7 linked regions of the Rattus norvegicus genome follow. The protein of the gene in region 6 interacts with the protein of the main gene of each other region in a pairwise test. Links are inferred from orthologs where the notes say so. Each region holds a gene or a part of one and is shown on either strand. Other genes may lie near its edges.

Evidence for each region.
Region 1: the proteins of Golga2 (region 6) and C10h1orf35 interact in binary tests that used the Homo sapiens proteins (3 or more experiments, as listed by UniProt). The two-hybrid records come from large-scale screens. The link is inferred for Rattus norvegicus from reciprocal best matches to the Homo sapiens genes GOLGA2 and C1orf35.
Region 2: the proteins of Golga2 (region 6) and Rab39a interact in binary tests that used the Homo sapiens proteins (3 or more experiments, as listed by UniProt). The two-hybrid records come from large-scale screens. The link is inferred for Rattus norvegicus from reciprocal best matches to the Homo sapiens genes GOLGA2 and RAB39A.
Region 3: the proteins of Golga2 (region 6) and Nxt2 interact in binary tests that used the Homo sapiens proteins (3 or more experiments, as listed by UniProt). The two-hybrid records come from large-scale screens. The link is inferred for Rattus norvegicus from reciprocal best matches to the Homo sapiens genes GOLGA2 and NXT2.
Region 4: the proteins of Golga2 (region 6) and Prkab2 interact in binary tests that used the Homo sapiens proteins (3 or more experiments, as listed by UniProt). The link is inferred for Rattus norvegicus from reciprocal best matches to the Homo sapiens genes GOLGA2 and PRKAB2.
Region 5: the proteins of Golga2 (region 6) and Scaf8 interact in binary tests that used the Homo sapiens proteins (3 or more experiments, as listed by UniProt). The two-hybrid records come from large-scale screens. The link is inferred for Rattus norvegicus from reciprocal best matches to the Homo sapiens genes GOLGA2 and SCAF8.
Region 7: the proteins of Golga2 (region 6) and Ndn interact in a two-hybrid assay, tested with the Homo sapiens proteins (2 studies listed by BioGRID and IntAct). The link is inferred for Rattus norvegicus from reciprocal best matches to the Homo sapiens genes GOLGA2 and NDN.

The regions. Positions count from the first base shown.
Region 1 is NC_086028.1:44,493,148-44,497,184, forward strand, and holds C10h1orf35 (multiple myeloma tumor-associated protein 2 homolog), read left to right. Parts: upstream 1-1,237; 5' UTR 1,238-1,335; coding exon 1,336-1,580; intron 1,581-1,726; coding exon 1,727-1,772; intron 1,773-1,854; coding exon 1,855-1,937; intron 1,938-2,013; coding exon 2,014-2,086; intron 2,087-2,190; coding exon 2,191-2,276; intron 2,277-2,905; coding exon 2,906-3,037; intron 3,038-3,155; coding exon 3,156-3,273; 3' UTR 3,274-3,700; downstream 3,701-4,037.
Region 2 is NC_086026.1:62,999,254-63,003,391, forward strand, and holds the start of Rab39a (ras-related protein Rab-39A), read right to left. Parts: upstream 2,801-4,138; 5' UTR 2,690-2,800; coding exon 2,463-2,689; intron 1-2,462. UniProt on the Homo sapiens protein: The small GTPases Rab are key regulators of intracellular membrane trafficking, from the formation of transport vesicles to their fusion with membranes.
Region 3 is NC_086039.1:110,656,526-110,660,233, reverse strand, and holds the end of Nxt2 (NTF2-related export protein 2), read right to left. Parts: intron 3,403-3,708; coding exon 3,258-3,402; intron 2,540-3,257; coding exon 2,358-2,539; 3' UTR 501-2,357; downstream 1-500. UniProt on the Homo sapiens protein: Regulator of protein export for NES-containing proteins. Also plays a role in mRNA nuclear export.
Region 4 is NC_086020.1:187,949,009-187,952,508, reverse strand, and holds part of Prkab2 (5'-AMP-activated protein kinase subunit beta-2), read right to left. Parts: intron 2,548-3,500; exon of another isoform or gene 2,546-2,547; coding exon of another isoform or gene 2,525-2,545; coding exon 2,358-2,524; intron 1,094-2,357; coding exon 1,000-1,093; intron 792-999; coding exon 671-791; intron 1-670. UniProt on the Homo sapiens protein: Non-catalytic subunit of AMP-activated protein kinase (AMPK), an energy sensor protein kinase that plays a key role in regulating cellular energy metabolism.
Region 5 is NC_086019.1:46,170,972-46,174,471, forward strand, and holds part of Scaf8 (SR-related and CTD-associated factor 8), read left to right. Parts: intron 1-486; coding exon 487-648; intron 649-3,500. UniProt on the Homo sapiens protein: Anti-terminator protein required to prevent early mRNA termination during transcription. Together with SCAF4, acts by suppressing the use of early, alternative poly(A) sites, thereby preventing the accumulation of non-functional truncated proteins.
Region 6 is NC_086021.1:35,984,783-35,988,282, forward strand, and holds part of Golga2 (golgin subfamily A member 2), read left to right. Parts: intron 1-826; coding exon 827-949; intron 950-1,939; coding exon of another isoform or gene 1,940-2,020; intron 2,021-3,500. UniProt on the Homo sapiens protein: Peripheral membrane component of the cis-Golgi stack that acts as a membrane skeleton that maintains the structure of the Golgi apparatus, and as a vesicle thether that facilitates vesicle fusion to the Golgi membrane.
Region 7 is NC_086019.1:125,259,805-125,263,158, forward strand, and holds Ndn (necdin), read left to right. Parts: upstream 1-1,254; 5' UTR 1,255-1,321; coding exon 1,322-2,299; 3' UTR 2,300-2,854; downstream 2,855-3,354. UniProt on the Homo sapiens protein: Growth suppressor that facilitates the entry of the cell into cell cycle arrest.

The sequences.
Region 1 (4,037 bases), on a different chromosome or scaffold from region 6:
CTGAAAATGCAGGCCAACAATGCAGAGGCAGAGAGTGCATGCTCAGAGGCCATTAAGGCCCCTGCCGGGGCTGGGGATTTAGCTCAGTGGTAGAGCGCTTACCTAGGAAGCGCAAGGCCCTGGGTTCGGTCCCCAGCTCCGGGAAAAAAAAGAACCAAAAAAAAAAAAAAAGGCCCCTGCCAAGCCTCAGGCCATCAAGCCCAAGATGCCAAAGGACCCCAGCCACAAACTCAGCTGTCTGGCTCTCATCACTCACTCCAAGCTTGGGAAGAGCATTTGAAGCTACATGGTCAAGGGTTGTAAGCTCTGCCAATCAAAGCAAGATTGTACAGAGGCTAGAAGCTTCCAGGACTAGGCCTAGGTTAGCAGACAAAGGCAGTAAGCTTTGGAGATGACAATTACATTAGGCAAATAAAGGATATGTATTGTGCAGCTCCCCTTGGGACCATCCATTCATCCCTAGTATGATCTTGTTCTGAGGGATCTGAATCCAGATATTTCCTCTAAAACCAGGACTTGATCTCAGGGCTTATACCAGGAGCCTCACAGGCTGCTGACAGGTACCCAACTTGTGTTCAGAATGAAAACAAAAATGAGATTGTCTTGGTCTATTTGGGATGCTAGAGTGTTCCAGGTTGGGTAATTTATCAGACTAGGGATGGAACCCAAAACCTTCTACATGTTAGGCGAGTGATCTATCATTAAATCCGTTTCTGTTCATTTTGAGGCAAGGCCTCAGTGAACTGCCGGGTAAAGCTTCACCTGCGGAGTACACAGATCGCTCTGGTTTAGGGATGCTTCGACTTGTGGTATTTAGCTTACTGTAATGCCATGCACGCTGTCACTCAGAGCACGGAAGAGTTGATCTATGTTCCTTTGGCGACTTTATCTGCTCCTCAGTGTTCGGTGAAGTTTTGCCATTACTTAACTTAGTTTCAACAGTGACCTGGACCTCAGGCCTTTGGAGTTAGCACGCTTGGCTTTCCAGGAAACAAGCGGACAGCCCCTCCTGGTGTCACTAAGGTGTTGTGGTGTCCCACTCCACGGAGATGCCTAACACAAGCGTTATCAGGTGTGATAGCACGGTTGCCTTTTTGAAGAGGTACTGCGCAATAGGACGAAGGATGTGCCTGTGGGTGAAGCAATGAACGCCCTTTGGAAAGATGGAGTCGGTCCGGGATACGCAGTGCGCAGGCGCACAGGAACGTTAGTTAGAGCGCAGGCGCGCGCGGGGGGCGGGAGAGTGACGTCACGGCGAGCGTCCGGAGGCCGAGTGCTGCGGGGAGTCCGACTCCAGACCGTAGATACTGAAGAAGGTGCAGCGGCTCCAGCACCATGTTCGGCTCCAGTCGCGGCGGCGTGCGTGGCGGGCAAGACCAGTTCAATTGGGAAGATGTGAAGACTGACAAGCAGAGGGAGAACTACCTGGGCAACTCGCTGATGGCACCAGTAGGCCGCTGGCAGAAGGGCCGCGACCTCACCTGGTACGCGAAGGACCGCGCGCCGTGTACCGGCCCGAGCCGTGAAGAAGAATTGGCAGCCGTGCGTGAGGCGGAGCGTGAGGCGCTGCTGGCCGCACTGTAAGTGCTTGGGCTGCGGGGCGACCGCACGCGCCGGGGGCGGGGTCTGGGTGACCCTGGGGGCGGGGTTGGATGTGGGCGGGGCACACGAGGAAGGCAAAGGAGGGACTAGACCTTTGCTGAGCATTCCCGCCCCTCGTTCGCAGTGGTTACAAGAACGTGAGGAAACAGCCCACCGGCCTGAGCAAGGAGGTGAGTCTGAGATAGGGGTTCAAGGTTCGCAGGGTGGCTGGGGGTCCGTCTGTCCCGGCCTAGAACCTCCTGTCTTCCGCAGGACTTCGTGGAGATCTGCAAACGGGAAGGAGGAGATCCTGAGGAGAAGGGTGTGGACCGGCTGCTGGGTCTGGGCAGCGCCAGGTGCGGCCAGTTGGGGAGTCTAGGGCAGGACTGGGCGGTGATTCAGAACTGTCCTCAAATGCTCTGTCCCCTGCAGTGGCTCCGCGGGCCGTGTGGCACTATCCCGAGAAGACAAAGAGGCTGCCAAACTTGGGCTGTCAGTGTTCACGGTAAACCCTGTCAACCCTAATGCCCAGGATCTTGGGGTTTGGGGGTGTCTGAGATGTGGGGCAGGATTCCCGGAGTGTCCCTCACCACAGCTACTCTTATACAGCACCACCGTGTGGACAGCGAAGGCCCAAGTACTGCCCCATCTGCTACCAGGAAGAAGCCCCGTGCTGAAGACAAGGCTGAACTGGAGTAAGTTGAGTCTGACTTCCTGTGCACGCATAAAGGGGCAAAGCACTGCCTTAGGTCTCTTAGTTTACTGAAGTAGGTGGGCCTCCATCTCCCGGCTGAGTCTCAGTAGCTGCCACAGGCAATCCAGCAGGATAATGGGTACAAACAGGAGGGTGACACTCAGGACCATGATGCTAGCCAGTTTGGTGGGGGGTGTAGTAGTTAAAAGTATAAGTTGGCTTTGGTAGTGGCACACATCTTTCTTTCTGGTAGACAGAAGCAGGCTGATCTCTCATAAGCTGGTTCCAGGCCTTGGGATTTAACTGTATGTGTGTCAGGTTACTTCTACTTTTGTGCCATGTCAGCTTTGTATGTAGGTAAAATAGTGAGTTCCGAGCTTGACAAGGCTGCAGAGAGAGACAGAGAGAAGGCCCACCAGGTTGGTAGCATGCCAGCATTCACCCTTGCTGCTGTGGAGCCAAATATTAAGCTCATTTACAAATATAAACTCACAATGTGTAGAAACGACCAGTGTGCAATGCTAAGGTATGGACCCTGCCCTATTCTGTCTTTCCCTACTGGGTGAGACTACCCCACAGTGGAGTGACTCTAGTTCTTCAGGCTTAGACCCTTTGTATTGTTTCTTGCAGTGCAGAGAGCCATAAGAAAAGCAAGAAAGAAAAGAAGAAAAAGAAGAAGAAACATAAGAAACACAAAAAGAAGAAAGACAAAGAACACAAGAGGGAGGCTGACAGCTGCTCATCTTCTCCCTCTCCTGCCCGGTAGGCTAGGCCCAACTCTATCTGGGTCACTAAGGAAGGGGGTGGGGCGCAAAGCTGGCCAGGGCTTGAGTGATGCTTAGCAGGGTGATGGACCCTTCAAGTGTCCCTGTCTTCCTAGGCCCAGACGCCAGAGACATTCTGACTTCTCTCCCTGCTATAAGAGGAAGCGGGAACATAGCCAGGACAGTGGAAGGAACCCATCCCACAGACGACAAGACAGAAGTTCTGATGACTGAGAATGTGGCTACACCAAAGGACACCAGAGGCCTGGCTGCTCTGCCCAACTCTGAGCTCTGTGGGGTCTATCACTGATGCCAAGTGGCTACCAGCCCACTCCTACTTGCTAACTATCTCATCCCTATCTGGGATAAGGCAGGGCTGCTCCCTAATAGCATCCTGAGCCATGCTTGCTGGATCTTAGGATCTATCCTGCCAATTGGAGGCAACCACTCCGGGTCAGAGTGGGCCCTGGGTTACCAGAGAGCCTAGTGGTTCTATGAGGGTAATGCTCTCCCCTTGTCTCCCCACCCACCCACAATTGCCCAGGAGACTGTCTGCCGCCATAGTCCAGGCCCTTGAGGTTTTGGGGTGTGTGTTACTGATTACTTCTACTTTTTTTTGTATCAGCCCACTTTGTACTTAAGTAAATGTATTTTAAAAGTAGAGTGTATTATCTCACTGAGGACAGGTTATGCTGGGAGCCTACCCCTCCCCCCCACACCTCACCATTCAGTATACCTGAGGGCACTGGGTCTAGGGACCAGAATCCTGTCCTTGAGGCTGCCTTACAAGCATACAAGTGACCAAGAAGTTGGAAGAACAAACTTGTAAATTTGAATGTATCTGCTGTCTGCTAAGAGCTCCAGTAGCCAGCAATTTTATAGAGCCTGTGTGCACATGCTGGCAGACAGTAGAAATTAGGGTTGCTACAATATAGCAAGTTGTTCTGATTGTAAAAGCTATTATGCTGGTAGTGTACACTTCTGGGTAGACCCCAAAG
Region 2 (4,138 bases), on a different chromosome or scaffold from region 6:
TGGTGATAATTACCCACTGGTCACTTCTTTGTTCTGTAATATATTTCAAACTGCATCATGAGCCCTCTAGGGTAAATTCCTTTTTCCTTTATGTCTAATCACCAGTAAACCTAATACAATACTTCTCACAAATTCGTCAGGTTATGACTGTAATGACAGACATGTGTCTTCAAGTACCCTTGAAGGTAATAAAACATGCCAGGAGACCCATGATTCAAAGATAATATCTGCATTTTGTAGAAGATGACTTAACAGTAATTGTTCAGAATGCCGTTTTAGGTGAGGCGTTCTGCTAAATGCTAGAAAGGCAACTATTGTAGGTAGCTACTGAAATATGTATTTATGAATATATCATTGGTAAAGAGCCAAAAAAAACCCAGAGTATGACTCATCATAAATGTTCTCTAACTGTCCTTGCATTATTGGGTGGTTTTAATAATGTATAAATAAAAGGAATTGCTATTTAGATTCTTCTCAAAGGCATTACAAAACCCTCAATTAGCAAAGATTTACATTCTAATAAATTAATTATCGTTTACCTTCCTGCCAATAGGGTGAGGAATTACTTTTAAGTAAACAATTGGACAGAAGAAGATTTTACTATCTTTAAAGGGTACAGCAAATTCTCTTATTAAATGCTTTTTTCCCCTGACCCTGAATTATCTTGGAAGTTCATCTCTGAGTAAGATCACAAACGGAAGAGTCTGTAACGGTTCTCAAGAGTGGTTGAACCAGGAGTCTTAGAAATCATAAAGACGTTTTCATCTCACAGATGAAGCACAAGTTTATTTTTTTAAAGAGTTTCTTATATAATGTATATGAGTACACTGTAGCTGTTTCAGACACAATAGAAGAGGGCATCAGATCCCATTACAGATGGTTGTGAGCCACCATGCCGTTGCTGGGATTTGAACTCAGGACCTCTGGAAGAGCAGGTACTACTCTTAACCTCTGAGCCACCTCTCCATCCCAAAGCACAAGTTTAAAAAACAAAGCAACACTTTCAATCGAAGGAGGCAGATTGAAAAGGAAAGGAAAATGTCTTCATGGAATTCTAAACAGTCGCTGACCTTTAACACCTCTCTGAAAGCTGGTCTTATCGCTTCTCTACATCACAAAAGACAACTTATATACAAGCAAGAGAGGTGGGTAGGTACCCTTGTTTTCTCTGTGGATCAGTGGAATCACAGTGTCAGACCCAGGAATGCAAACCAAAAAAAACAAAACAAACAACTAAAAAAACAACCAAAACAAACAAACAAAACAAACCAACCCACTTTTTTTTTTTTTTTTTTGAGATCACAGAGATCTGCCTGCCTCTGCCTCCAGAGGGCTGGGATTAAAGTCTTGTTCTATCACAATCTGGCTGGAAGTCAAAATTTTGAATGTTGAACATTCTACACATGTAGGCTGACTTCTCTTTGAATGGATATTAGCTGAGTGAGGGGAAGCCATATTTGTGAAGTTCCTTAATGGAGTTCTTTATTTCACAAGCAAAGTACTTGCTAAGAGATATAAAAATGCTTGCCTACAAGATTTCCAATTGATCATGTGATTTTTTAAAAACTGGAAATACGCTTTAAATGCGATTTAATCTCAACTATCCAAGGAATTCGGTTTCATTTATCTTCTTTTTCTGTAAGGCCAGTGGGCTTTATACAATCTTTCAAGTTCCCCAGTAAACATCCAGAACTAGACTATTTACTTAAGACTGACTCTCTCCATTTAGAAAAGTACTTTCTTCTGTCACACACCAGAACGTTATGAACCCATCAATGAAATAAAGGAAAGGTTGCAGACAACCCTCCGTATTATCTTTTTCACAGCAAAGCGCCAAAGATGACGAACTTCAAAAAGCAACTTCACCCTTTAAACACAAACACACACCCTTAGTTGTGTCAGTGACTCTGATGTTGCATTTAGTTGTTTTCCAAGACCTACTCCCGAGGGTCATGGCCCAGAATTTTCTGATGACCACACTCGGTGCTGTCAGATGTTCAAACCATTACCGCATGCATCTCGCTGTAAACCGTTCTGAGGCAGCTCTGACTGTAACCTCGGCTGGAAATCTGCTTGCTGAAAACTAAAGATTTTTCACAGACTTAGGAACCCCACTTGGCATATTTCCCGGGCCCGAAAGAGCCTTGGTCAAGGCTGGAGAGGAGGTGCTAGGAGGAAGGTGGTTGAGTAAGGGTGTGTGTGCGCAGCGAGCGAAGTCGAGTTTGGGGAGAAGGCAACGGTGGAGCCAAAGGGACCCAAACGCCAAGAGAAGCAGACAGAGCTGGGGAAGACCGGCGACCCTGGTTCGGACAGGAAAGAAGACAGAAAGGGGGCGCAGGAAATCCGCACTAAATAAAGAAGAAACTGCGGAGGAGGAAGTCGCCCCTGGAAGGGGAGGAGCGAAGGGGAAGCGAGCACCGAGCACTAGCACTTTCGAGAGCCTGTGGCGCGTTCCTCCCTACCTGAATCGCTCCTGCCCCGCCGTGTCCCAAAGCTGCAGCTTGATCCTCTTGCCTGGCTCAATCTCCAGGAGGCGCGAGAAGAAGTCCACGCCGACTGTGGGGTCGCAGGCCGGGGAGCGCAGCCCTGGGAAGCGGCCTTGGGTGAAGCGGTGCAGAAGGCACGACTTGCCTACCGTGGAGTCACCGATCACGATGAGGCGGAACTGGTAGATCCAAATAGCCTCCATCGCTTACGTGCCCAGTGCGCTCAGGAGCAAGTTCTGCCGAAGGAACTGTCCCTTCAGCACCTACGAGGCGCGCGCCCGCCGGCTTCCAGCATCTTCCTGCGGCTGCGGCCGCCGCCTGGTAGCCGCCCTCTGGGGAGGGAGGGGCGGGACCGCGGGCAAGGGGCGTGGACTTGTTCTGCTTGGGGCGGGGCTTGGGTGTGAGGGCGGGGCCACGAGTTGGAGAGACCGCCGGTAGGGGTGTGATGATGGGCCCCAACTGTAAGGAGCTGGAGCTGACGTCTTAGGAGCGGGTCACTGGTCATACGGGGGCGGGGCCCCTAACTAGAGACGGTAGCTTCGGCCTAGGGGATGGGGAAACTAGGAGAACTAGGACAACCGCAGCGTATTCCAGTCCGGATCTTGCAGGAAGTGGACCAGGAAGTGGGTGTGGCGAAAGAACATGACGGCAATGGCAACCAATGAAAATGTACTTAAGGGTTAAACGCCAGAAAGGTCAGCCAATGGGAAGGGAGAGTCATCTTTCACGCATCTACGAAAGTTCCGCAGACTAAGACCCTGATCTTGGAAGTTGGTCAGGCGCTGAACAGGCTTCTATATGGGGATTCATGGTGTTCGGGTTCTCAGAAGATTCCAGTTGGCAGTTTCCTCTGAAGAAAACAGATTTGCAGAACTAGTTCTGATAGTTTCTGTGAAGGACTGCCTGTGGCTGTTTTCCATAACATTTTCAGCATTAGAGAAGAGAATTCTAGCCCTATGCTTTGTGGGGCCCTCCGGCCTAAGAAAAACTTAAAATGTTGAGAAGCTAGTACAAGTCATCGCTATTCTCGGTCTTAGCTGCTCTCTGCTTGCATATGACCAATGATCTAATAAACAAAACGAAATTTAAATTTTGGTGAGACCTTACTGTGTTCTCATCTCTTCCCTCAAATTTGATAAGGAAGAAGAGAATTTCTCTTCTGGACTGGGATGTAGCTCAGTTAGTAGAGTTGCCTAGGAACATGAAGACCTGGGTTCAGTTCCCAACTCCATACAAGCCAAATATGGGGGCCCATGGTTATAATTCCACCTCGTGGGGCACGAGGATCAGAAGTTTAAGTTTATCCTCAGCTACAGAGTTACAGAACGATTTAGCTTTTAAAAGTCAAATCAAAGTTCGACAACTTTAAGGTGTGCATTTATAAAACCAACGTTTGTGATAAGAGCTGTATAGCTCAGTGCTAGCACTCTTCCCAGCTTGCATGAAACCCTAGGTTTGATCTTCAATACTGAAAATTTTTTGCCAACCATTTCATTTTTTTCTTGCAACATCTATCACACTCATCCTTACTTCCTTTCTTTGTTTTAGAAGAAGAAGTATGACTTTCAGAGAAGTATTCTTTTTCTGTTATGCATCTTTACCACCCCCCCCATTAGTTGATCTTTATTTTATGTGGTATGTATCTGACTGTC
Region 3 (3,708 bases), on a different chromosome or scaffold from region 6:
GATCAGTAGAATAGAATAGAAGACCCAGAAATGAACCCACACGCCTATGGTCACTTGATCAAAGGAGCTAAAACCATCCAATGGAAAAAAAGATAGCATTTTCAATAAATGGTGCTGGTTCAACTGGAGGTCAGCATGTAGAAGAATGCAAATTGACCCATTTTTATCACCCTATACAAAGCTTAAGTTCAAGTGGATCAAGGATCTACACACAAAACCAGATACACTCAAACTAACAGAAGAAAAAGTGGGGAAGAATCTTGAACACATCAGCACATGGGAAAATTTCATGAACATGCACTCTTATAGAAGCATGGAGGAGGGAGGATGGGATAGGGGGGTTGTTGGTGGGGGAACTTGGAAAGGGGATAACATTTGAAATGTAAATTAATGAAATAATAAAACTATTTTTAAAAAAGAAGCCTTATAATGAACCAGTTCCCATTCTGGGGCCTTAAATACAAAAGCAAAAAACCTTAAGAAAGACGAGAAAACTTGTGAAAATGCATTTTTATTTTTTAAGTTATAAAAATATGAACATGTCAAAAATAGTTTAGTCCACATATGAGCAGTTCCAGCCATTTAAAGTCATACACATTACGGAATTATACAGTGTATGGATAAAGCAATTCACAATGGTTCAATTCTGTTATTGCTAATTATACACAGTTTTGAGATTGTTCTCCACCAATAGAAAGGGCAGCGATTGGACATTTTAATTGTTTCCACTAAAGATGTAGTTAATGGAAAAAATTCAAAATAAGAGCAAGCCCACTCTGAATAGTCTAGAATGCGTATGTTTTGATAAGAACTGAAATAAACCATAGTTTTAAATATCAGTTCTATCCCCTTCTACTTCATTTAAATAATACAATAATTAAAAGTGCATTTCTGGACCAAAGTAAATTACTAGTTTTAAAATTGAGTGATAATTTAATTTTGATCATACCACAGAACAAAGATAGCATGTTAGCTTAAAATATTTAAAAACTGCAAAAAATTGTAAAATTTAAAATTTAACTAAAAACTAAAAACTTTTTTTGTCTTTAGAATCTAAGACATAAAGTTAATGAGTTTGTTCCTTTGAAGTTTATCATGAAGATCTTTTCCTTGATTTGTTTTTTTTAACCATAAGCAGAAATATTTTAATATTATTTCTAATCCAGTGCCATACAGAAATAAATCATAAGATCATAGATTTAATTTTAAAAAGTAGGTAATACAGTTGACAGTGCAAACACCAGAGAAGAAAATCATTCCTGTGCGTGGCGGGTAAGACCCAGGAGGCTGTGGGCTCGAGGCCTACACGGAAGACTTTGGAGTTCGGGGTCCACACGGATTGAGCGGTAGCCTCCTTCCTACCTTTCAGACTCTGAGACGAAGTTTACTGCTGATATCTTAATCCTATGAATTCACAAACTAGGGTGGACACTGGAGATAAGTATGAAGGGGAGTAAAAGGATCTTAAAATCCAGTTTTTAGGACCATTTGGCAAGGATTCTTAGACACTTTTGGGATACAACCCTGAAACTCGGCTACACTTGCAGGAGGTAGGACACGAGTATGGCCACCTCTCTCGTTTGTTGGCTTCAGTCTTAGATTTCTGTATTTCTCATTCCATACTCTCCCATTAAGGCTTTTATTCTCACTCCCATTTATCACATAAATATATTGACTTGAAGCTTCCAAGAAAATGTTTCTCTGAGTTGCTACTGCCACTAAATGTACCCAATACCCAAGTATCCATCAAGACCATTTTTCGCCCATCTAGTTGATTACTTCATTTCAAAAGGAAACATGTCAATGTCAGAAAACAGCAGGACTATTATACACTTATATGCAATTGAAATATGACAGAACACTAGCATAAAATTAAATTGAACTGACTTCAAATATCTATACTTATATATTAAAACTTTAGTACCATTGTTCATCGTAAACAGGCATGTGCTTCATTGAGAAATTACCCTAATAACTGAAAAACCACTATTTCCTCCTACAGAGCTATCTTGTGCTATTCCATAGACAGTATTACAAAAAAGGACTCCATTTGTGCAAGAGATTGGGTTCACAGTGAGTATCTTAGTACCTAGATCATGTTTAATATTACCTTGAGAGTATCAGTAGTGGAATGTATGCATAAGGCATGTAAAAAACTATCTTTAAAGCTTTTAAGGGCAATAATCCAAACTGGCAGCTAATCTAGCAAAGGTGCTGCTAGGAATAAAAAAATATTACATACATTTAGTTTTAGCACATACACTTAAGTTTATAGTACTTTTGCAACGAAATCTATTAATTCACATTAAACTTCTCTTGCTGGAACTAATGGACCAATCGAACGGGCTTTTGCTCCTTTAAATACTAGCCCAATCTTGAAAACGGAAGCAATCACTTGCAATCTTCCACACCGTGCTGTTAGGAGTGCTCTGCGCAGTCAACAGGAAGTTCTGGTTAAAGAAGTGTTGTTTGTTTCCATCAAACTTCACCACTCCACTGGTCACGACGAGCACTGTAGTCTGGTACTGGGTAGCTTGCTCTTTAGCAATATAAGCAAGAGGAATAGGTCACATTACACATCTAAGCTTGTGCTGCAATGTTAAAAGTTTTTTTCATGAACGCTCTGTATTTTAAGAAGCATATCAAAGTCAATAGATGAATATTTTAAAAAGTATTAAGATGATTCTTTTCAGTCTAGAAAGATTTGCAGGGTTCTCTCAAGTTTCAAAAAAAAACAGAGATCATAAATCCAACATGACTATATGCTCCCTGTACATGTTAATATTTCATTAGATATCTAACATCATTCATAGTTTATCTCTAAAGCCATTCTTCAGGAACTATAAGGGGAGATATCATTATAAACAACTACTTAAGATAGTGAATTCCCCATCTAGAGGTGAACTGCATCAATCCACTGGGAATCAAATTCTATCACAAGTCATTCTTCCATAGAATACAGTTCTCTGAAATTTTAACAAACACTCAGACACATTAATCTATGATATGATATTTAATTTTTTCTGTAGCCATTCTCCTTTTAGATAACAAAAAATCACAATCTCCCAAAATTAATGGTGGTTTCTGGAGTGAAAACAAGACCCAAATCCTGACTATATAACTTGTTTTTTTGTGACACTTAACTTGTTCAAATAAGTAACCATACCCACTATTGAAGGTTACTGTTGCTTGGGGTGTAAACCTCAGTGTTTACTAACAGAAAATGAAGGAGATTCTTTGAAAGATCATGATCTTACCATGAACTGGTTGGCAATCTAACATATTGATCTGGAATTCACTGGAAGGCAACATCTCAAAAAAATTAGCAAGGGCTTCCAGCCCTGTAACAACATTTCCATTCCAGATTAGAGTGGCCTTGTCCAAATACAGCCTGACAAGTGCCTAAAAATAAAGGAAGAGTTTAAAAATAGGTATTTTAACTCACAAGCATCTTCTACAAATGCATTAAAAGATTATGGACGGTATGTAAACATTTTCATGGCACAGTCTCTACCTCTATGGTTTCTATTTCCACTTCTTTTGCCTGGTTGCTTTTGGAAAATAATGTGACCATGATGCCTACCTTGCCTTGAATAGGTATTATCCCACTCTGTAAACCTGGAAATTCGTATTTTAATATTTTCATATTAGTTTTGATGACAAAACCTTGCTTGTTTTATTCTCAAAGGTAAAGTTGGATTAAAAGGA
Region 4 (3,500 bases), on a different chromosome or scaffold from region 6:
GGCATGACTAGTAGCAGAGGCAGGCTTTGCAAACAAGGGCCTTGTCTCATTTTCTTTGCTCAGCGGATAAAGTGTGCAGCTCTCCAGGCAGGCACACCTCCCACCATACAGTAACAAGACAATGTGCCTCTGCTGTCGGAGTGAACAAGCACTTAGAAAGACCTGGGGGAAGGAGTACACATGAAACAAAACATCCAGGACTGTCCCTGCAGATTCAATTCTACATAGAGCAACTATTGGTTTGGTTTTTTTTCTCACACTCCCTCAGTGACAATTATAGTTGTAGGCTCTCATAAAATCATAATTGCCAGTTGAGCTCCCAAACTAGCTGATTCAGGTTAATAAGACAAACTAGACGCATCTAGCCTCTACAGGTAATATCACCAGATGCTCACGGAAAGTGTGAAATCTTACTGGAAATAGCATTTGATACCGCAGACTACTGGTGGATTACATAAAGGTAAAATGGAGAACAGTGTGTCAGAGTAAGAAAGGCAGACATTATACACATGGGACTTGTGTGCAAGCATGTGTGCACACATGTGTGTGTGTGAGATTATAAGATTCCGAGAAAAACATGAAAATGCAAAATAAAACAAGAAACCAGTTTGGGGAAGGAATATGCATTGTAAGAAAGACATAGCAAGAGAAAGCAATAGGATAATATTACCTCGACATGATGTCTCGGAGCTTTCCATAGAATCTAACTTTAAAGCATCAAATACTTCAAAATCAGATTTCTTGACATGGATCAAATTATTAATTGTGCCAAGCTGACTGGTAACCACAGGCTGAAACAGTGAAGAAATATAAACAAACAAATAAACAAACAAATAAATAAATGAAATAAAATTGGATTCCCTTTTAAATCTATATCATCACCCAAGTGCCCCTCTACTTTTATGACAAGTCCCTAGTAGGAAGCCTGTTGCCCACTGAACTGGAGGGTAGTGAGTCACAAGGAAGCCACTGAGGCTCCGTTGCAAATCCAGGCCTTACCTCTGATGGATCATGAACCCACTGTCCATCCACAAAGAACTTGTACTGGTGCTCTCCCTCGGGAAGATCCAGGATGGCAACAAAGTCATTATGACTAGAGAAGAAAACAGAAGGTCAAATAGGCCAAGTTCCTTAAGAAGACAGAGTGTGAAAAAGTAAGAGGAAATGATGGGGCTACTACAATGGCCTCCTAAGGCTTCCTAAGCTACAGTCCTTGTGCTCACCTCACCCCACGGTACAAATCCATTCTCTGCCTCTGTATCAGTCAACACATGTGCTTGTCAACCTCTCCCACTAACTCTGTTCTCCATCACGTGTGTGTGTGTGTGTGTGTGTGTGTGTGTGTGTGTGTGTGTGTGTGTGTTGGGGGCGGGGAGGGGAGTGATTGCCAAAATGTTTAGATTTCTTAGAGCTAGGGAGTTGTGCTCAGCCACTATGAGTGCTTGTTGTAAGCTTCAGGGCCTGAGTGTGAATCCATGGAAAAAGCTGGGCATGGGTACACACACACACACACCCCTCTGTAACTCTAGCACTGGGGGAGGGGGCGGGGGCAGGGCAGAGACAGGCAGACCCCAATCAACTGCTGACCAGTAAAACTAGTTGAAATGGAGATATTGTGGTTCAGTGAGATTGTCTCAAGGCAACAAGGCTGAAAGCCACAGAGGAAGATTCTTGGGGCTTACTGTGGCCTTCACATGCACACATATGGGTACACATGTCTGCATGTACATGCATGCACATGTACACACATACACACAAACACACGTTACACACAAAGCAGTATTCACAAATATGATTAACATAAAAGATAGGTTTGGGTTGGGAATATTTCAGGGTACCCTTTCCATAGTTTGGTGAGTCTTTTCTGGAAAATGACCCCATTATGTAGAGGGTCACTCTGACAACCACTTACATCATTCACTACTGTGTTGTCAGCGATAACTGGCATTATACCTAGAATGTCACAATGTATTTTACTTTAATACAGAAATCAAAGCAACAGGATTAGTGATTTCCAGGCTTCCTCCAGACAGGAAATGGCTTGAGAAGCACGGTCCTGAATGGCACACACACAGTGCTGTTAGAAACTCCTGAGGCCCTCTCTCTTCTTAAAAGGCAATCGGGCTGGAGAGATGGCTCAGCGGTTAAGAGTGCTGACTGCTCTTCCAGAGGTCCTGAGTTCAATTCCCAGCAACCATATGGTGGCTCACAGCCATAATGGGACCCGATGCCCTCTTCTAGTGTGTCTGAAGACAGCTACAGTGTACTCACATAAATTAAATAAATTATAAAAAAAAAAAAGGCAATTAGGTGCCGATTCCTGCATGCTGCAGACTCAACAGAATGCCTGTCCTCACCTCTTAATCAGAGGGATCTTGGTGCTCCAATTGTTGAAAGACCCAGAGATGAAGACCTCCTTGCCCCCTTCAGACCAGCGGATAACAGTAGGCCGGGCCTGCTGGGTGGGCTTCACAGAATCATCCAAATCCTGCTGCCAGGGTACAAACTCTTTGTCCCCAGGGAGCTGTAAGAAGGAGTAGGTCATCCCTAGAATAAATTATGACCCAAGGGTTTTTAAGATGTCCCAAAGGTTTTTAAGGGGCATTAAATTAGGCTTCAACTAAAGTGAGACAGCCCAAATTCAGCAACTAAATCAGAGAATGAACAAACTATAGAAAAGAACTATGGCTCACATCAGTCTCCTCAGAGAGCCTTTGGATCACCCAAAACCCTTCCTTCAGACTACCAGTTCAGCTTGTATGCAGGCAATTAGGATATGCTCCTGAACACCTCATAAGGAACTAGAAGAAAGTATGGTTCTTTAAAAGAAAATTAAGCCAGCTACATGTTTTTCAGAGGCAAACAGTTCTCTGGCAGTTACAATTAAAGTTAGAGATACCAAAATTCCTAAGTAACTAACAATGCTGTTTAGCTACTTGGTTGTACAATAGGGCATTAAAATTTAAAGGGTTGGAGATGTAGTTCAGTGCAGAGCACTTTCCTACCGAGTCTGAGGCCCTGAGTTTCATCTCTAGCACCATCATCCATCAATCGACATGAATTCGGAAACCACATCACTGACCCGGTAGAGCTGAAGTGGTTATGAAACCTTACTTGCTTACTTAGGCCAGGTTCATAAAATCACCTCAGGACGATACATGACATCCTGGAGCTCTAGGAGCACAAGATCAAAAGCAGCTTCCTTGAGCAAAAGCAGTTCCATTACTTAATGGGATTTATAGGGTTCCGAGGCCATCCTTCAGGACAGGCGTGGGCCAACCGCAGCCGTGAGCCAGACTGCTTTTACAAAGCTTCCGTTTGGAAGCAGCCATGCACGTGTGTACCTGTCATCTACAGCTCACTGCCACCATGCAGACCTGGGAGATTATGACCCTAAATTATGTGTATTAGTTGGCCTTTTACAGAAAAGGTTTACTCACCCCTCCTATGGAATGGCTTCACTGGCTGGTAAATAAGACTGCATGGTACCAGGTCAAGCA
Region 5 (3,500 bases), on a different chromosome or scaffold from region 6:
ATGTCTCCTTTATAGATGAGGTATTTGAGACAATCATAAATGTTCGGCTGGTTATATTTAGCATGTTATAATGGTTGTTTTATTTGTTCTTTTATTGCTACAGAAGTGTGAGCAGTGGAGTCTAATCCACACCTGCAAAGTGTTTTCTAACCGTTTCTTGATTTTTTTCTTCTATTGTTCTAGTTTTTTAAATTCTTTAAGTGATTTTTCAAAATAATGTCTATCAGGTTGTTTTTAGTCATTGAGGTCAGTTATACAGTGCTGGTTTGGAACTTGGGTGAGCAACAGTTGACCTGAATGCATTGAGTGGTGAAAGTAGATTCTGTTCAGAGTAGATGCTATTTCAAATCGAATGGTTAAGAACTAGGCAGAGTCTGCATATTAATTACAGCCTGAGCAGTGTTTTTGCTTAAGTGGAGTTTATAATGTCTTTTCTTTCAAGGATTTTACCTTTCTATTCCTTCCCTCTCACTTTTCTCTCATCAGTGTAAACCAGAATACAAGGTACCCGGACTGTATGTTATTGACTCCATTGTGCGACAATCCCGGCATCAGTTTGGTCAAGAAAAGGATGTGTTTGCACCCAGATTTAGTAATAACATCATTAGCACTTTCCAGAATTTATATCGGTGCCCGGGGGATGACAAGGTATGTTATTATTTTATTAAAGGAGCTATGGTACCCTCTTCTTAGATAGAATCTTTAGACCACCTTATTATATGACCTCTTGTTGACATTTACTCTTAGCTAATCTGACCTTTAATATTTAATTATTGTAACAGCCACACTCATTTTACTCGTAGAACTTTTAGAGAGTAGAAAAATGTAATTCCTTCTGCTACTTTTTAATTTATTGAAGCAACTTTTGTAAAAAATTTGCTACCAAAGTATTTTGAAATTGTATTAGACATTGAGTCCTGCACACAGCCACTTTAGGATTGTGGTTATATTTCAGTTTTGTGGGAAATGGATCTGCCAAGCAGTTCATAGAGAAGTACACATCAGACTTCTTTTGTTGCATTTTCTAAGTGCTGAAGACTAACACTGAGATTTTAGTGTGTGTAAATGGTCTATATTTGGAAGGTAAAGGATCTAGAGCTAAGATTCAAAGGAGATGGTTCCCTTCATAGCTCCTCTGGTTATAGGTGATACTGATTTGGAAGTGATATGGTATCCTTTTTCTGTTTTTAAAAAAAGTTACGAAATGGTTAAGAGAGGGTAAATGGTTGGTGATGGCTGTTGACAATTACTTCTCTATTAGAGCAGGCAGTCGTGAAGCTTACAGATGTCTGTATCCCCAGTTCCAAGGGATTCAGCACTGTCTTTCATTCTCTCTCTTCTGTTCTTTTTCTTTCTCTCTTATACACACACATACAACACTATAAAAAGGAGAGAATGGGTGAGGGTTGTTATAAGGAAGAATCATAAATCTAAGGCTTATAACAAGACTATTTTTTTTTTCCTTTTTTTTCTTTTTCGGAGCTGGGGACCAAACCCAGGGCCATGCGCTTGCTAGGCAAGTGCTCTACCACTGAGCTAAATCCCCAACCCTGACTAGTTTTATTTTTAATCACTGTCATGTCTTGAATTTTAAAAGTCAGTATTATAGGGATAAATTTATTGTAGCATATTCTTCGTAAATATTCTTGGATATATTTCCTGGCAGTTCCTGTATTTTGTTCTAATTATTTTGGTATTACGGTAAGCCTAGCTAGTAGTCCTAAAGACTGTTTTAGATGTTCAGTCACCCACCTTAATGATTTCTTTTTTTTTTTTTTTTTCCTTTTTTTTTTTTTTTTGGAGCTGGGGACCGAACCCAGGGCCTTGTGCTTGCTAGGCAAGCGCTCTACCACTGAGCTAAATCCCCAACCCCAATGATTTCTAATAATGGAATCCTGTGTAAAATAATTCATTAATTTGAAATAGCACTTATTTAGAAGTCATACTGATTTTCTTGAATTTTTGACAGTTACAGGATACAAATCCATTTTGATCTTGTGGGTTTCATGACTAACACCTCTCAGAATAATCTTTATGGATGAGGCATTTTATAGACCGTATGAGGAAAGATGAGCTGAGTCTGTAGTCTCAGTATTAAAGGAGGGATGTGTGTTTAGATACACAGGATGATGTTGCTGGGGTTCTTTAAAGAACTTAGTGAGTATCAGACGTAGAGAAAGGTTTATGTGCCAAAAGAGTGACCAGTACTCTGAGTACTGGCTCTGTGCAGAGGCAAGAGTTGAATCAGAGGGCTTGAACCATTTGTTGTATAATTTTTCTTATGCATCATTTGAAGTACAAAAATTTACACAACTGCATGTTACTTAAAGTGAACCAAATCTTTATTTTACATATTTAACTATTATTTTCTCTTGCGACTTGGACAGCACCAGCATCTTTTTTTTTTTCTTAAAAAGTAACAACACCTTAGAATAGTAGTAATTGATAGTTCTTTGGCATAGAACTCTGTATTAAATAGTTGTGATTCATTAGTTCTGTGTGGTCATTAAGGGATTGGGGAGACTTTTATTCTTAATTTCGGTTCAGGTGATCTTTACTCTGATTTAAGTCTATAGTCTGAGTAAACTATTATTTCAAGAAGTGGAAATAATTGATGTTTATTTAAAATAATAATAAAAATAACATGGTGAAGCATTTTAGAATATCTTTCTTTGTTGGGCATATAGGCCTACAGACCTGAAGCTTCTGGAATCTGTGAACCCTTCCATCAAACAAAAAGACACTTAGTAGGAATCTCTTTGCTCACTAACTCTCCGCATTCCTGATTGTGACATACAGATCTCTATAATCAACTCAGTCTTTTCAAGTTACATTATCTTGAGTAAGACATATGCAAGAATTGAGTCAATAGAATTTGAGAACTAAGAAGGGATTTCATATGAACACTGTGGGAGAACGATGAGGGTTTCAAGTGAGTTGAAGTAGTTTTTTGACTGATGACAGCCTGTAGCTTTGTCTCAGGGTGCTTGTGCCTAAGACATGCAAATGCTAGCAGCAGGCAGTTTGTTACAGTCACAGCTAAAGAAAAGTATAAAATCTGTTGTAGTTCATTTTGTAAATGAAGAAATGTTGGTAAAATTTATTGACATAGTTGGCCTAGGACCAGAGAGAATGAGAAGTGTCAGGCACATCTGTCATGAATTGTATAGGAGATGCTTATATATTACATGACTACATGAACCTCACGAAAAATGGGACTCAGGCCTAAGTACTCAAGAAACCCAGAACAGGTAAAGCACAGTATGATGTACCTGTAGGACTGAGTCGAAGTTCTTTGACTGTAGTGAATTGGACACACAGTTGCACTCAAAGGGCTTGTCAGAAAAAGACTCATGGTGGAGAACATGCAGATTTGATTTATTTATTTTTGCAAAATGGTAGAAGACGCAGATTATTCTAAGTCACAAAATAATGTAGAGTATATAAATATATCATATAAAACATAGTTCTTGCCCTAAGGGCCAATTGAGTAATGCTCG
Region 6 (3,500 bases):
CAGCTAGTTCCTGCCTACTCAGTGTTTACTCTCTGATCTCTACCCTTGGGAGCTGTAAACCCCAGAGCAGGTTATCAGAAGACTGGGTTTGGATTCTGTGTTTGCCTCTGTGTGTATGTGTGTATGGGCATGGGTATATGTTGCTGGATGGAACTTAGGGCCTTTTGAATGCTAGGCAAGGATTCCACTGAGCTACATTCCCAACCCAATTAATGCCATTGCCTCTGCCATTAAGAGGTCATTACAATAGCTTGTAGAATCTTGGTACCATTCCATGACATGAGACTTACGTATGTAAGAGTATTTTTATAAGGGACTGGAGAGATGGCTCATCAAGTAAGAGCACTGAGTGTTCTTCCAGAGGACCCGGGTACAATTCCCAGCACCTACATGGCAGATCACAACTGCCTGTAACTCCCAAGATCTAACTAACACCCTCACACAGACATACATGCAGGCAAAACACCAGTGTACATTAAAAAAAAAGTCTTTTATAAAAATAGCATCGGAAGGAACCAGGCATAAACTGTTACACTGTGTAGAATACTTGCCTAACTTGCACAGGGCCCTAGGCCTGGTCTCCAGGACTGTATAAACCAGGTATGGTGGCATACACTTGAAATCCTGGTGCTTTTAGAGGTTCAGACAGCAAGATCAGATGTTCAAAGTCATCCTCATTCACAGAATGTGTTAGCACCCAGCCGGGGCTACTTGAGACTCTGCATACAAAACACCAAGCCAAAAACTCACTAAACTGGAGAGCTGGAGTAGAGGCTGTGAGTGTGGGGCAAACGGCTTTGATTTCTTTCTGTTCTCTTTTCCACAGCTGAGAGAGTATCAGCAGAAGAACAGCCCGGGTGTCCCTGCAGGAGCAAAGAAGAAGAAAAAGATTAAAAATGGCCATAGTCCAGAGAGAACCTCTGCCAGTGATTGTCAGTCAGCAGAGAATGTGAGTCTTGGCCAGCAGATTCCTGAGGAATGGGGTGGGGGGAGAAGGGAGAAGGCTGTGGTTCAGGTAATGTCAGGTGCTGCTAAAATTTCTGGTTTGAGGGCTGGAGCCTAGTTCAGTGGTGATGGACTAGGGCTCGCTTGCCTTGCAAGGGACCCTGGATTTTATCTCAGCACAGAAAAATAAAATCTGAGTGTGGATTCTGTCTCTCCATTGTACGATAAGTCTTAGGGCAAGTGGTTTAAAGTCTTCAGACGTCTTTTTACATATCTGTACAATAGCAACAATGTTTTAATGTGTAAGTTTATTGTGATTGTTTTCGGGTTAACTCCCCTAGTGGAGGGTCTGCTGTGGAGTTAACAGTGAGCCAACAATAGGTACTGCTTGGGTTTCTTGGTTTGGGGTAGAAACCAGAGGGAACATCATTGTTCTCAGGCTTCTGAAAAGAGCCATTAGGAAGAGATCTGTGTGTTCAGTCCATCGTTGTCATGAGCTTGCTGGGTTGCCTCAGGAAAGTCCCCACACACACTCAGTTCCTTCATCTGACAGGATGATGGTGTATTGGCTTATTGTCTTACAGATTCTCTTTAGCTGTACCTTATAGTGTACAAGTGAAGTCTTATTTGGGAGTCTGGTTTTAAGGTGGACATGGGACTGGGGCCTTTGCAGATTGCTCCATGCAATCCTGGGTCTGTGGAACAGGTCTGGTGTATGTTGAGTCGCTGCCTTGATCAGGTGTAGTCACTGCATCCCCTGGGGACTCTTGCTCACTCTGAGGGCTGCCTCTGACAAGGCAGCAGCTGGCTGCTTGGAAGGTTGGCACAGGCCTGGGTGCTGATCTGTGCTCCTGAGTATTCCATCTCCCTGACTGTTTCTCTTCTTGCCCTGACTTGCTTCCCTGTCCCTCCCTCCCCTCTCTTTCTCATCTCTTTTCTTCCCACCTGCATCCCATCTTACCCCCCTCCCCTTTTCCCTTCTCGCCTGCTGTAGATTCAGGACATTCTGAAGGTGTTGGTGTCCGACCTTAACCGTTCCAATGGGGTCTCGCTCCCCCCATTAGACAAGAGGAAGGTGAGGCAGTGCCGAGACTCCCTCTGGCTTGCTCTTCCAGCCATGCATGCCACAGAGGCCTCCCTGCTGTGGGGGACCCTCTGCCACTGGCTTACTGTGTGTTGCCTCAGTTAACCATCAGCCCCTATGTCTGCTTTTTCAACTGCTCGCTTGATTGGGTTTTTTCCTTTCCCTTTATCATTTCTCATTTAGAGAATATGAGACCCACCTTGAAAGTTAAAGCTAATTGGGGAAACAGCTTTTGGTTCAGATGAGTGAGACTAGAGTTTATGAATGCCTGGCAGGGCACTGTCAGACTGGGACAGATGGGACACAAACACACCTTCAGATCTTGCCCTCTGGGCATCCGTCTCTAAAAAGCTAGACCATTGAAGTTTGTGCTTCTTTTTTATGAACTCATTTTGATTTGAAACAGGAACATGAGGTTATGAGAAAGTAAATTTATAGTATAGTTTCTGGGATTAAGACTTTTTTTTTTTCTTTTTTTTTTTTTTTTTCGGAGCTGGGGACCAAACCCAGGGCCTTGCGCTTCCTAGGTAAGCGCTCTACCACTGAGCTAAATCCCCAGCCCCGATTAAGACTTTTTTAAGAAACCCTCAACAGGGGTTGGGGATTTAGCAAGCGCAAGGCCCTGGGTTCGGTCCCCAGCTCCGAAAAAAGAAAAGAAAAAAAAAAAAAAGAAACCCTCAACAGGCAGTGGTGGCACATGTCTGTATTCCCCAATACTCTGAAGGCATAGAGGCAGGCAGATCTCTGAGTCTAGGAGGGCGTGGCCATGTCTGGTCTACAAAGTGAGTTCTAGGATGTCCAGGGCTACACAGAGAAACCCTGTCTTGAAAAGCAAAATGAGGGGTTGGGGATTTAGCTCAGTGGTAGAGCTCTTGCCTAGGAAGCGCAAGGCCCTGGGTTCGGTCCCCAGCTCCGGAAAAAAAGAATTAAAAAAAAAAAAAAAAGAAAGAAAGAAAAGCAAAATGAAAAGAAACTGTGAAAGTGTAAAGTTAACTGACAAATAAGTGAGTGACCAGGAGAAGCTGTTCTCAGTCTCTCTGAAAACTCAGTGGGTTCCTGATAGGAAGGGCACTTCCTAAACAGTGGCAGAAGTAGATGCGCAGTCCAGGTGCAGTAGAACGTGCCTATGAGCCCAGCACTGCGGACACTGAGACGAGGATGGGAAGCCCATCCTACACAGTGAGAGCCCGTCCGGAACCAATACCAATACCAGACTAAATGCACAGGACAAGAGTTACGCGGCCTCCAGGATGTCTAATGTAGCCACAGGAAAGTTGGTTCCCAGTGGACTCAAGGCTGGAGAAGGGGCGTTTGCAGCTACTTTGACAATGAAAGATGGGTCATGATCATACACACGGAGAGCTGAGGAGCAGAGAGCTGACAGGCGGAAGGGCACTTTTCAGAGACTCAGCATCCACGTGTGACAGGACCTGTGTTCACAGGGCTTAGAGCTGGCTTCCTGGATATAACC
Region 7 (3,354 bases), on a different chromosome or scaffold from region 6:
AGGGCTAAGGAATTCCATTATTTCAGAATAAGAAAGATGATCAAATTTAAGGACTTCTGGCTTTGGAAGCTTCAACCATGGTCATTGCATAAAGGAAAGTTCGAGGAAATATCAGGTTCAGGTTACCTCCTCTCAATCTACATTTTTTATTTATGAACACCAATATGCTGCCTCTCATTTATGAAAGAATGTTAGATATTATCCAAAAGAATTGCATTTGAAAGATATTGGGAAAGATTTGGACGTGCGCCCAACATGGAATTAGTCATTTGCTAATGACGTAATGCAAGACGTGGAAGATTTCTTATAAACATGAAGATGTAACAGCAGTAAGCAGGGGGAAAGGGCACTGGGAGTGCATGAAAAATACACTATCATAAAATGTGTATTAATAAACATGTTGATCATTTCCCACTAGATTCTTAAGGGAATTTCTAAATGAAATCAAAGTGACCTAATAGAAATGCAGAGCCCAAATCCATAGTTATTAAAATAATTGTAAGCCAACAAACTAAGAATCCAACGATGAATGAATACATATAAATAATTTTATATATCTGTTTTGTTCATGTGGGACCTGGGGTTTAAACTCAGGTTCATGCTTGAACTGCAACAGCTCTTGCCCACTGAACCAAGTCCCATTTTAATTAAAATTTTAGACGCACATCAATTATGTTATATGAATCTACTTCTAAAACATTAAATTCTCACATGGATTGATTTCCAGTGTCTGTAACTATACTTTGCATTCTTCCTTGTTTGATACTGCTCAGATTTGTAACGATTTATCTCTATTAATAATTTCTCAACATTCTGATATTAGACAACACATCATCATCATCATCATCATCATCATCAGGTATGACTTTCCAAGAAAAGGTTATTTTTGTCTCTCCTATTCTTTTGTGGAAAACTCAAATTCAAGAATTAGTCTTCTTCCTCCAGGACCTTCACACTTAACTCAGTGTGTCGGAACTTAACTTCACCATCTCAGCTATATCTTTCTCCTTCAACTTGTTTCTTTCCCCACTATCACCCATCTCTGTCCCATACAGGAGACCAGGAGATCCTTTTCATAATACTAGTGGTACCCTCCCTTAGACCCCAGTGGTTGGGCTTTGCTACTTCGCTCCTATCCAGCCCTACCACCCTTCTGGCTTCCCACTACGCATGCGCAATATAGCGTCTGCCCCGCCCGGCCCGCTGCTGCGGAAGGCGCAGTGCTCAGTAAAGCGCACTTCCTCTGCTAGTATCCACTGAGGCAGTGCAGGCTCCGAGAGCTCCGAGTCGCAGCGGTCCTGCTCTGATCAAAAGACGCAGAATGTCGGAACAAAGTAAGGACCTGAGCGACCCTAACTTTGCCGCTGAGGACCCCGACACTGAGATGCAGGTCAGCGATGCTGTTCCGGTGGGGGTCCCTCCTCCCGCTCCTCTGGCCGCGAACCTCTCAGGGCCATCGTGCGCTCCGGAAGGCCCTATGGCAGCCCCACAGGCCTCGCCACCACCTGCAGAACGGTTTGAAGAGGTTGACCCTAAGATCCTGCAGCAGGCCGCAGAAGAGGGCCGCGCCCACCAGCCCCAGAGCCCAGCCCGGCCGATCCCAGCACCGCCGGCCCCTGCCCAGCTGGTGCAGAAGGCGCACGAGCTCATGTGGTACGTGTTGGTCAAGGACCAGAAGAGGATGGTCCTCTGGTTTCCAGACATGGTGAAAGAGGTCATGGGCAGCTACAAGAAGTGGTGCAGAAGCATCCTCAGGCGCACCAGCGTCATCCTCGCCAGAGTTTTCGGGCTGCACCTGAGGCTGACCAATCTCCACACCATGGAGTTCGCCCTGGTCAAAGCACTCAGCCCAGAAGAGCTGGACAGAGTCGCGCTGAACAACCGTATGCCCATGACAGGTCTCCTGCTCATGATCCTGAGTCTCATCTATGTGAAGGGCCGCGGGGCCAGAGAGGGTGCGGTCTGGAATGTGCTGCGCATCCTGGGGCTGAGGCCCTGGAAGAAGCACTCCACCTTCGGAGATGTGAGAAAGATTATCACCGAGGAGTTCGTCCAGCAGAATTACCTGAAGTACCAGCGTGTGCCCCACATCGAGCCTCCCGAGTACGAGTTCTTCTGGGGCCCCAGAGCTAACCGTGAAATCACCAAGATGCAGATCATGGAGTTCCTGGCCAGAGTCTTTAAGAAGGATCCCCAGGCTTGGCCTTCCCGCTACAGAGAGGCTCTGGAGCAGGCCAGAGCTCTGCGGGAGGCTAATCTTGTCGCCCAGGCCCCCCGCAGCAGTGTCTCTGAGGACTAAAATGTCCAGGAGCACATTGATAGTTTCTGACCCATACTAGGGCTGTGTAAGGGTGGGGTTGGACATTAGAGTATCCCAGATTCATAGTGCAGTATTTCATGTATAGTTTTTAAGTTTTCCATCCAGTGCTTTTTTTATCTTGTAATGCAATGTATTCAGTTGTGTACTCGTGTAGTGTTTAAAATTGATGCATGTGTGTTTTATAAGTGAGCAAGTTGGTACTTTCACTTCTGTGCTTTCTTGGATTTTTGTACAAGAGATGTGCTGTGCTAAACTTGTGAAATACATTGAGGTGTTCTGTATCTTGTTCTTTGAATGGGACTGATGGTCCGTATCGACAAAGAAGGCCCTGGAGAGTTAGCAGGACTTAACAACAACACAGACCTGACCAAGAGAAAGGTCAGGGTCCCTCTCCATATGACTCCAACTGGCACAGGAAACATCCATGTGGAATGGACTGATTTGAACTGGACTGTTTTCAGTTTAAGCACTTAGCACACTTTGCAAAACATGTATCCAACCCCACCATAAATAAACTTTAAAATGAGCATTAAATATACCGTGAAATAATTTCTTTGTTTGGGGGGGAGGCATTTATTTTGGTGAAAGGGGGAATGGGAGTGGGTAGGGATGAGAAAGATTCTCCCCGTGTACAACATGAGCAAGTATACTTCTAACAGAGTGGGAAAACACCACTCATAACCACTCAGAAGTTTTTTGAAAATTGTGGTGCTTCAAGAAATTGGTCACATTAAAGGCGTGATAACAAAAAAAGGCATGTTCACATAACGTGGGAATAATAACAGGAATTATGTAGGGACTGTCCCTTTTCTGTTTTGTTTTGTTTTGTTTTTTTGTTTTAAATAGTCTTTGGTGGGCACTTTAACAGAATGAAATATTGCTACTAAACCCTCGTTGTGCATTTTCTTCTTTATTTTATCCTCCCACCAGCCATAAGAAGTAAGGAATGACTGTATCAGCACAAAGCAAGAAAAATGAAAGGATGCTGGTAATGAAATACCCTAAAAATCATAGACCTTATACTGGAGTCTTGA